2 linked regions of the Drosophila melanogaster genome follow. The protein of the gene in region 1 purifies or fractionates together with the protein of each later gene. This does not show direct contact. Each region holds a gene or a part of one and is shown in the gene's direction. Other genes may lie near its edges.

What was found.
Region 2: the proteins of ovo (region 1) and mamo purify together in Drosophila melanogaster (affinity purification with western blotting, with the first as the bait; one study listed by BioGRID). This does not show direct contact.

The regions. Positions count from the first base shown.
Region 1 is NC_004354.4:5,046,342-5,051,309, forward strand, and holds the start of ovo (ovo), read left to right. Parts: upstream 1-1,931; 5' UTR 1,932-2,789; coding exon 2,790-3,201; intron 3,202-4,968. UniProt on the Drosophila melanogaster protein: Transcriptional regulator with essential functions in the germline and soma. Plays an essential role in regulating the formation of apical cell extensions such as denticles and aristae, and initiating cytoskeletal remodeling during epidermal differentiation.
Region 2 is NC_004354.4:13,983,346-13,988,635, reverse strand, and holds the start of mamo (maternal gene required for meiosis), read left to right. Parts: upstream 1-2,193; 5' UTR 2,194-2,265; intron 2,266-2,561; 5' UTR 2,562-3,422; intron 3,423-5,290.

The DNA.
Region 1 (4,968 bases):
CAACGAGCGGCTTTTTGAGTGAGAGTGAAGTTGGCGCAGGAACAATGCAGCAACAACAACGCAGGGGGGGGGGATGTTCTTCAGAAGGCTCCACCGACCGAGAAGAAGAAGAGCCAACGGAAAACCTCTACTAACGCCAACATCATGACATTAACATTGCCGCTGCCTCAACGGCAAAGTCACAGTCAAAGCCAAAGTTAGCAACAGGTTTTCTGTGCCTGCCACTTCGGCCTCAGATTCTCAGAGCCGCTCTTTCTCCAATTCTCTCGCGATACACATCGATGCACGGAAATAAAATGAGTTTCAGATAATTGAATTACAAATTCTACCGATTATTTTCAATCAGAGGCCAACATTTTAAAAATGTGTTATTTCTTAAAATTTTAACTTGATATGAAATTAAAAAAAAAAAGGATTAAGTTGATCCTCAGTTTTATGTTATTATTCTATTAAGTTTTGAAGGGGCAGCGCACTAATTTCTTATGGTGCACCTCTCTCACCTGCGAACGAGGCTTCGTTTTCAGTTTCGGACGTGAGTTCGTCTTCGTTTTTACCTTCGGCTCGTTGCTCTCTCTCTCTCTACCTCCGCACACCAGCTCAAAGTTAGCTGTAAATTTGTTACGTCGCCGCAAAAGAGCGTATGCGTGCGTGTATGTATATGAGTGTGTGTGCCACACAGGTGTGCGACGCTCTGAATTCGCCGTCGCTTACATCACTTGCTCTCCATGTGTGTGTGTGTGTCGGTGAAATAACGTTAGTTATCCGTTGGCAGCGCACCTGTGCGGGTTGAAAAGAGATGGAGCTAGGCCTTCTTATTTGCCATTCTAAGCGCATTCTAAGCGATCTTCTCTCACACATACAAACGCATGCGCACAAGGATTTAGGGGAAGGAGAGAGCTGGTGAAAGAGAGAGAGAGAGAATGAGACGCACACCTGAGAGCGAGAAATGCCTGCGTTGCCAACTATTTTGCCGTTTAATTTCGCTTATATGGGTACATTTTTCCATCTTACTTGCCGCTGTTGCTTCTTCTTATTTGGCTCGTTATTTCTTCTTATTGTATTTACCGCGGTTCTCTTTCCATCGTTGTACACAAACACACTCGCACAGATATAATAATGATGAAATTCTTCAAGGGCCACAATCATGCCTCCTTTTTTGGGGTTCTTTTTATCGAAAATCAAATGACTTAGGAAACAAACTAGCCAGAATATTTAATTATAATTAGGAGGATATTTAAAAACATTATTTGCAAACTATTTCATTTAAACAAATCGTTTTAATAATTGATATCTATTGATAGGCTTAAGAACATTTAAGAAAAATATCTATTTAAATTTAGCTTTAATTCAATTATTTTAAGATGTGCTGTAAATACAAAGTCCTTAGTTCGAAAGTACAGTACAAAATTAACAAAAAATGACCGGAACATAAATATTTATATTGAAATTTTTCTAAATTTTCTATTAATTTGCCAATCCAACCAAATTCTAAGTACCACAAGTACAGCTCGCGGTATCGGGTAAAAACGATCTCAGCCGGCAAATGGCCAAGGCGAAGATTCTTGATCATGAGCGTGATCATCATTATCATCACTACCTTGACTCTGAGGAGGGAAAGAGAGGGCGCGTCAGAGAGACAGAGAGAGAGCGCGAAACTGCATGAGAAACGTTATGTGAGCGAAATGAGGCAACGCACACAAAACACTCTCACTCTCTCTCACACAGGTGCGCTTGGTTCGCCGTTTCGCCGCTGTTTTTCTCACCTGAGCAACGGCGAATATCTCGTTATTTTCTGACTCATACGAAAGGGAAGTTTCGCTCTTTCTCTCTCTCTCGATTTACGGTGTTTTAAATTCGCCGTCTAACTGAGTTTGTTGTAGCGGCGAGATCGATCGGTTGACTTTGGTTTGGCCTAACTGACTACCTCGAATACAGTAAGTTGCGAGCCGGCGTTGTGAATGCACGTGTTTTCGCTTAACTCACCTGGGCGAATCCCAAAGACCAAAGCAAACCATTAAACTCACATAAAACAATACAATTTATAAAAACGAAAACACTGTGTTGTGCATCAATCAATATAGTAATATATTGAATTACATCCATACAAAACAGAAACAAAATTTTTTTTGAGTAATATTTTTTACAAGTGCGCTGAATAACACAAATAAATCAAGAACCCAACAAGTGTTTGAAAACCCAAAAAATAAATTGGGAAAAACAAAAATTTCTCATAACCGAATATTTTTTTTTTTTGAAAACTTGGGGGAAAAATCAACACTTTTTTCGACAAGTCACCGAAAACTTAAAAAAAAATTGATTTTTCAAAAAAAGAACCAAGACTCGACACTGCCGAAAAGGCAATATTTTTCAAGTACATTTTTTCGAAGTGTTTTGACAAAACAAAGCAAAATTCTCGAACCAAAGAACAAAATCACGAAAGGACACCCCAAAACAATCCCTCAATTATAATTGACTTGACTTTGACTTGCAAAGCCGAAGAACTTTCAAAAGACATGAAGAGGGCAAAACAGAAGTTAACTTGAGCTCGGCTCATGACCAAATCAAAACTGAAATCAAGCAATTTTTTTTTTTTCAACACAGTGGACGAGCGGCGAACAAACATACACACACAATTGGATTAGTGTTTTGTTTATTTCGGACCCACTGTAACTGTCCCTCGTCCACCTGAAAATACGAAGAAATTCGTCGCCTCCTTGAATTCGTCGCGTGTCGCCGTCGCGTTTCGTTAAATCGCTTATCGTTCATCGCAAATCAACCGATAATCCATCATGCCGAAGATTTTCCTGATCAAAAATCGCCTGCATCAGCAGCAACAGCGCTTGCTTGAATCGCAAAACTTGCTGCAGCACAAGAATCAGGATGATGAGCGCTTGGTGCCGCCCCTCAGTCCAAGTGGGAGTGGTAGCGGCCCCTCGCCAACGCCCACATCCCAACCACCACCGGAACCGCAAGGTCAGGGGCAACAGGTGCTCGGACAGGTGCCCGATTCAGATCAACAGCCACTGAGCCTCACGCGCAAACGATTCCACCATCGTCGTCACTACTTCGGACAATCGCGCCACAGTCTCGATCATCTCAATCAAAATCAGAGCCCGAATCCAAATGCAAATGCAAATCCCAATCAAATACAAAATCCTGCGGAATTGGAAGTCGAATGCGCCACTGGCCAAGTTCAAAATGGTAAGTTGAACTTTTCTAAAACAGAGTCTAAAAATCTTTTCGCTGCCTTATACATAAATACACCTTTAGGAGCGATTAAATTTCCGTTTGCCAAACCGTTGTCACATAAATGCGTTCTGTTACTTGTTTGGAATACTCGAAGCACAAAATATCAAAGAACAACGCAAAGAATTTTAATTTACTTGGATAAATAATTGCTACAAATCTGTCAGTCAGTTTTTTTTTTTTTTTTTGGCCGATGGCAAATCGGCTGGCAATACAATGCGCCATATCTATTGCCTGGAAATCTTTTCAAATTTCAAGCTTCACTTTTGGGCAGCTTTTGTTATTGCTTTTCGCCCACACCATAACGAACTCGTCCCCAGTGTATCTTTGTATCTTTGTATCTATATCTGCCCTGTCTATCTTCCATTCTCCAAAACGGAGCTATGGGTTTACTTCGACATCAATCACTTTCATTGAATTTCGTAAGCGTATTATTTCGTTTTATTTATTTTTTTTTTTTATTTTGCCAAAAAAGCCAAGCAGAGTTCTCATGTCTCTGTTCTGATCTCTGTTTTCTGTTTTCAGTTTTCTTTTTATTTTCTGTCTGTTTCTGTTATATAATCGCCCAGCATGCTTATTAAGTCATTTCGATTTAGGCGGTGGTCTTAGGTTAAAGGTTTAAAATTTTCATAAATGATTAGGCGAGAAGAACTTTCTTCGTTTTCGGGGCGAGTTTTATTAATTAAGTTCTTTTCGATTTTATTTGAAAGTGAATTTCGTTCAGCGTTCTTTTGGCGTTTTTTTTCGCTAAAGTCTTTTGTTTCTAAGCATTTTTTAACTGCCCTTTGTCTGGCCTTAATTATATCTATATTTTTATGCAACCATTATGGCTCGACTTCACTTCAAGAGTAGCTTCTCTCACACGCAGCCTCATAATTTTGCCCCTTACGCAGGCATTATATTTCATGGTTATAGCTTATATATATTATTTTCACGGAGCGCGTAGTTGAGTGCTATATACAACATTTATTAAATTAAATAACATGTTACGTTCTCGGTTCCTCCCGGTTTATCGCCAAGCCAACCAAGTTCCCTTCATCATCTCTATCGCCCATCCACTTAAAAATGTATTATGAACGCTTCCGCTGTATAATTTTTATGAGTTCTGCGGATATTGTAATGGAAGTTATTTGAAGGGAAATCGTTTCGCAACGTTATATTCTCAAAGAAAAAATTTTTAAATTGGATAGAATTACACAGAAGTTGGTGAGCTCATCGGATTCGCATAACTTCATAACTAACACTTTGAAGTTTTAAGTTCCAACTTTGATCAATCTATGCAGGATTTAATATTATTTAGGTCTTGCACTCTAAACATGTGTTCTCATGCTGCTCTGATTTCAAAGAACCCTCTGGTCACACTGCTTGTTCACTTTTTTTTTTTTTTGTTCAATTACCGCTCGCTGTTCGTGTTTTTCTTGGCTTTAGTGGGCTGTGCCCATGGCCAAGAACTTCACACACTTGAGCGCACACTCACACACTAGAGCGAAGCTAGAACGAACGAAAAAAAAAAAATTATATAACTACCAAAGTACAAGGTACTAAAAGCCAGATACAAGAAAAAATCTCCTCTCAACCACGCAAAAGTACAAGTTTTGCCAGAAGATGAAGAACCAAAGCCAAAGCAAAAAGAAACGGAAAAAGAAAAAGAAAAGAGTGCGGAGCAGAAAAAGAACTTCATTTTGTTTGGTTTTGCAGCCTAGACTTGAGCTAAAGTTCCAA
Region 2 (5,290 bases), 8.9 Mb from region 1:
ACAATTCAAAACATCAATCACGAATAAAAAAAAAAGTCAAATATTATCAATCATCCATCGACAAAAAATCGCATTTTTTCCTGTGTCGAAAGTAATTTCTAAATAAAATTCTTCCCTTTACAAAAATACCCGCAAAATATATATTTATATTAGCAGTAAAAAATCCAACATCGCGCCGCGTAACTTCATTATTTTTTTCAAGTGTTTTTAAGAATTTTTTTTTTTTTGAATATAAAATATTGCAAGTGAAAGCAGCAGCAACTATTTTTGATTTTAGCAAATTGTGCTGTTTCTCAAAAAGTGTTTATGACAAAGTGCTAGAAAAACCGGAAGGACCACATATATATAATATACAAAAAATTACAGAATTTTCGTATTTTGTGTTTGTTGAGGATCACTTAAGTGCCCCAAAAGGTCATGTGTTTTTCTAAGGATTTTAATCATGCATAGCCAAGTTAAAAGTCTTAAGAGGGAAACTAGTGATGTTGCGTTTTCCAAGGACAACTAAAGTCATTCAAAGGATATTGTTTATCATTTCGAAAATGCATAATGTTTCATGTTTCATTTGTACACCATTTTATGTTTGAATTTGTGTGCTTACTCATTCTTATTTACAAGTGTTGACAAGTTCTAATAATAACATTTCGAAACCACGAAAGGAAAGATTCAAATATCCAGTGTTTTGAAGGATTGAAACTATGTTTTTAAGAAGTTAGTTGCAGTTATAAAGAATGTCAATTCCGAATTAAGTGTATAAATATTTTAGGCAAATTTTTAGTAGCTAGGTAGTGGCTATTTATTGCAACAGGCCCTCAAAAAATAATATGTAACTAATATTGTAATGTGTTTTCTTAAATTGTCACTTGTCCTGAATTTGTGAATTGATTAACAAGTGCCAAAAAAAAAACCCAAAAAAAAAAAAAAAAAAAAAAACTGCAGCTTAGACATCAGATTAGAAATTGCCGACGGAATATCGCAGAGCTCTGTTGAAAATATTCTGAGCGGAATTTTTAGTGCATATTAGAACTCTAAATATTAAATGATATTTCAATGATTTTTTTACTGTTTCTTTTTTATGTCAATTTGGCAATTGCATTGTATTATTTAAAGTTTAAATATTTCCATACTTCAATTTTAAATGTATTTGTATTATACTCAACTAAAACTTTTAAGGTTTTAGTGTGAAAGTAATTGTAATTAAAGATTACAATTTTCGATTTTAAATTTTGTATGAAAATGAATTAAAACGAATTGCCACATTTTTCATTTAGCCTTATTCATGTGCTTTACTACTAATTTTGTGGCATGCACATAAAATCGCACTTTTTTTTAAACCAGTGAATAAACATAATTATTTAAAAATGATAAGTTCATCATTTTTGTTGGAAAATGTATTAAAACTTGTTAGATTTATTAAAGCAAATTTATTGAATTTAATAAAAAATTTAAAAGAATAGTTTCGAACCTTGTTTTTTTTGTTTTGTTGAATTTATCAGTTTTTAATATTTTTCTTGCAAACCATTAAAATCGATCAGATTGCATTCCGTTTTAAGATTGATAAAAATGATAGTTTCAATTTTATTTGAGTGATTTGAGGGCATATATGGCATTATTAAAAATAATGCACATTCAACTAGAGTTCTTGTCCTGCGTATTAATTTGTTGGACCTTTCTTTGTCCTTTTATTTGAACCCCAAAAACTTTCGGGAAACATATGGCAGACGGTTGTGTGAGTGTTTGTGGGTTTTATTTTCTGAATGATATGTTGCTGCACTCGTACAGATTACGCATACGCTGCGTTGTCCACTGCGAAGAGAGAGAGAGAGCGAGCGAGCGAAAAGAGAGAGCGCCGCACCGTGCACTTTCTGCGATTGAGTGAAAGAGAAAAAGTGACTCGCGGTGGGAAACGAGGTGCATTTTGGCTCAGCTTTGCTGCGTTTTTCACCGACGCTGCTCTTTTACGAAGCGCGTGCGGCGCTCTTAGTACAAGCACACACCACTCACACACACACACACACACACACACACATACGTATGGACTACGATGTGCAGGGGCACCCACACATAGGCGAACGGGAATCACTCGGCAATACGAAGCAACGCAGTCGCAGTCGCAGCGCTGCCGCCGCGCTGCCAACGCCAATGCTCTTTGGGTTTTGGGCTTTTGGCCAGGCTTTTTGGTTTTGCAGCTCTGTCGGCTTTGGACTTTCGCAGAGATTTCACACGCGATGCGATTGCAGTTCTTGCAGACACTTTCATACGTTCGTTCGTGTTTATTTTCGTTAGCCTTAGCCGCAAACAGCAAATAAATTACATTTTGCCAAGCGACAAAATATTCAAATATTTTACGAATATTTGTACGGAAAATATTTTGGATTCTTTATCGTTTATTTTTTTTTTCTTCTTTATTTTTGTGCGCGGTTTTTGGAAACACGAATTTCGAGTAATAGGTCCTTTTGCATTCATTTCTGTCCTTCATTCATGAAATTAATTTTTTTTTGAATTTTTTTCAAGTGCTCTGCGTCGGTTTCTAACACTAGTTTTTGTATACTTTTTCCCAGGCATAAACTTAAACACAACAAAAATGTTTTATAAATATATTATTATAAAATAAAAAATTACAAATAAATGAAGTAACAGCGAAAGTTTTTAACAAAGTCAACAACAACAACAACCACACAAAAGAAGCAAGAAAATCCTTAAGCGTAATTTTTTTGTATTTCAACAATGCAACAACCACAACAACTACATCTACAACAGGGGCAACAACTGCAGCAGCAACAACAACCGCAAGAACAACAACATCAACAACAACCACAACAACCAAATGAAACAACAACTCAAGGCGGCTTTGCACGTGTGTGTGTGTGAACAACAACAACAACAACAACAACAACAACAAAAGCGACAACAAGCTAAAAACTTTAGAAAAACTTACAACAACTTTTTTGGACTTGGAGCATTTTTCGAAATCTAAACAGCCTAAAGTAAATACCGAAAAATATCCCGCAATTATTTTGTGTTTTTTTCCCCATCTCAAAAACTACAATTTCATTTCAAATAGAAAAACGCAAACAATTTAAACAAAAAACATGCTCTAAGGTTGTGTTAAAGGAAATTAAACCTATTTTGCACCTTAATTCTTTGATTTCAACAAAATTACAACAATTTTTTCCAAGTGAAAAATTTGTGCGAACCGCAGAAAACAGAAAAGTGGAAATAAACAAAAATCAAGTCAAATTTAATTCAATGCAAACAGCAAGTGCAACAACAACATCAACAACAACAACAACCACAAGAAATTCACCCAAAACATCAACAACAACAAAACCAACAACTGCGGCAAAGGCATCAACAACAACACCAACAACAAGAAGAAGAACGAGAACAAAGTTTTGAAACTGCGGTGTTTGGCGTTTATGGTGAGTTTTTTTTTACTTTTCAAACAATTTTTCAAATCATCGAATCATTTATTTGGCACTTCGTTTGCGATATTATTTTATCAAGTGTTTGCGTGGGTCAAAAATCGAACACGAAGTGCTACTCGATAAGAAAAGTGTTAGGTTTGGATGAATTTTGGCCATAAATGGATTAATAGCAAAAGTGTGAAGTGAGAGGAATGGAAAGTGTTGGACAAAAACTTGTTTGCGATTAATTTTGTCCATAGAAGCCTTGAATAAACTATAACTTTGAATTGCAAAAAAAAAACGGCGTTAATTAAATAAAATATTTGCAAAATTACTAGCCATTGGTGACTTAACTAAAATAAGGTGCTAAACAATTTAACTTTGATAAGAAATACACTTTAGGGTCATTGCTACTATAAATGTATGCTAGATATAATATTTTTGATTATATATATATAATATTTGTATATTATTATTCAGACAGACTTCAGTTATTGCTGATTATAAAGAACTTAATCGTAATGCCTATAGTTAAGTGTGAAGATAAACATAAGTTAGTTGATATAAAAAATGGCAATAAAACACCCAGACGTATACATAACTCTATTCACGAATCAGTTTTGTTACCCTTTCCATATATATATATATATATATATATATATATATTTTTTTTTTATCAACCGCTCTTTTGGCGACGACTGTAGCACTTCCCGTTTGAACCGGATGCGCTTTTGGAAAAATTTGCTGAATGTTATCAAATATGTAAAATGGAAATGCACTTTTCTGGGCCACAACAACTGGCAAAAAATAAAATGCATATATCGACAAAGCAAAAAGAGACAAAAAAAAAAAAATAAAGAAATAAATAGTAAGCCAATCAATAAATTGGCAAAAAGAAAAGTAAGTTAACTAAATGCTTGGTCAGTTTTAGAAGTCGCCAGCGAATAGAATCGGCAAGAAGAAAATTCTCGAACTTCCGGCGCCACCAGAGGCGCCAACTAATCATCGCTTTTTTTTTTTGTTTAGCTTAGTTAATCAGGAAATTGGGCAAAAAAAAAAAAACGCTAAAGAAATTGGAAAACTTTAAGATTCAACTTGAATAGATGACATGTTTTGTTAGCACTATAGAATGTTATAAACGTAGTGTAAGTTATGTTAGATTTTATTTTAAGTATTATAAGCAATATATCTCCTTTATATAGCTACGATTTGAAACGAATATAATTTATTAAGCTTATATAAGTGTTTTGTTCTAAAATTAAAGTGGATTTTTTTTTTTAAGAGAAGTCTGCACTTCATGTAATTAAAAACCCACAACACAAGACCTTAACAAGACGAAACGCACTGTCTAGCTTCTTAGCGCGCCTTATCCTCATTCCCATCGCTGTCTCTCGACTTTATCGCAATTATAAATATTTATAAGAAATGAGTCCATACAAACGAATATCATTCCCATTGCACTTGGTGGGGGGTTTTTGAGCGCCGTTTTAATGGCTTCTTTCGTGTTTTTTTTTTTTTTGTTTCTGTTTTGTTTTTCAAATAGTATTATTTTTTATTATTTTTTGCCATACTGCGCAGACGCAACAAGATTTGCAAAATATTCTAATATCATATAGTATATCATGTTTTATTTTTTGACATTTCCATTTCGTTTAATTTCAGTTACATTTTCGTTTGCAAAAATTCATTACAATTCGCGTAATTGCGTTGCCTTTGTGTGGATATTGTTCGTGTGTTTTTCTTCTCTTTTTTTATGTGCAACAGTTTTCGCTCGTGTGTTTTTTTCTAATTATTTTCCGCGAGTGTGATTGTGTGTGTGTGTGTGTGAGTGTGCCTGTGAGTGCAACTAATGAGCAACTGCCGGTCGACTTGCCAGCGGTTGA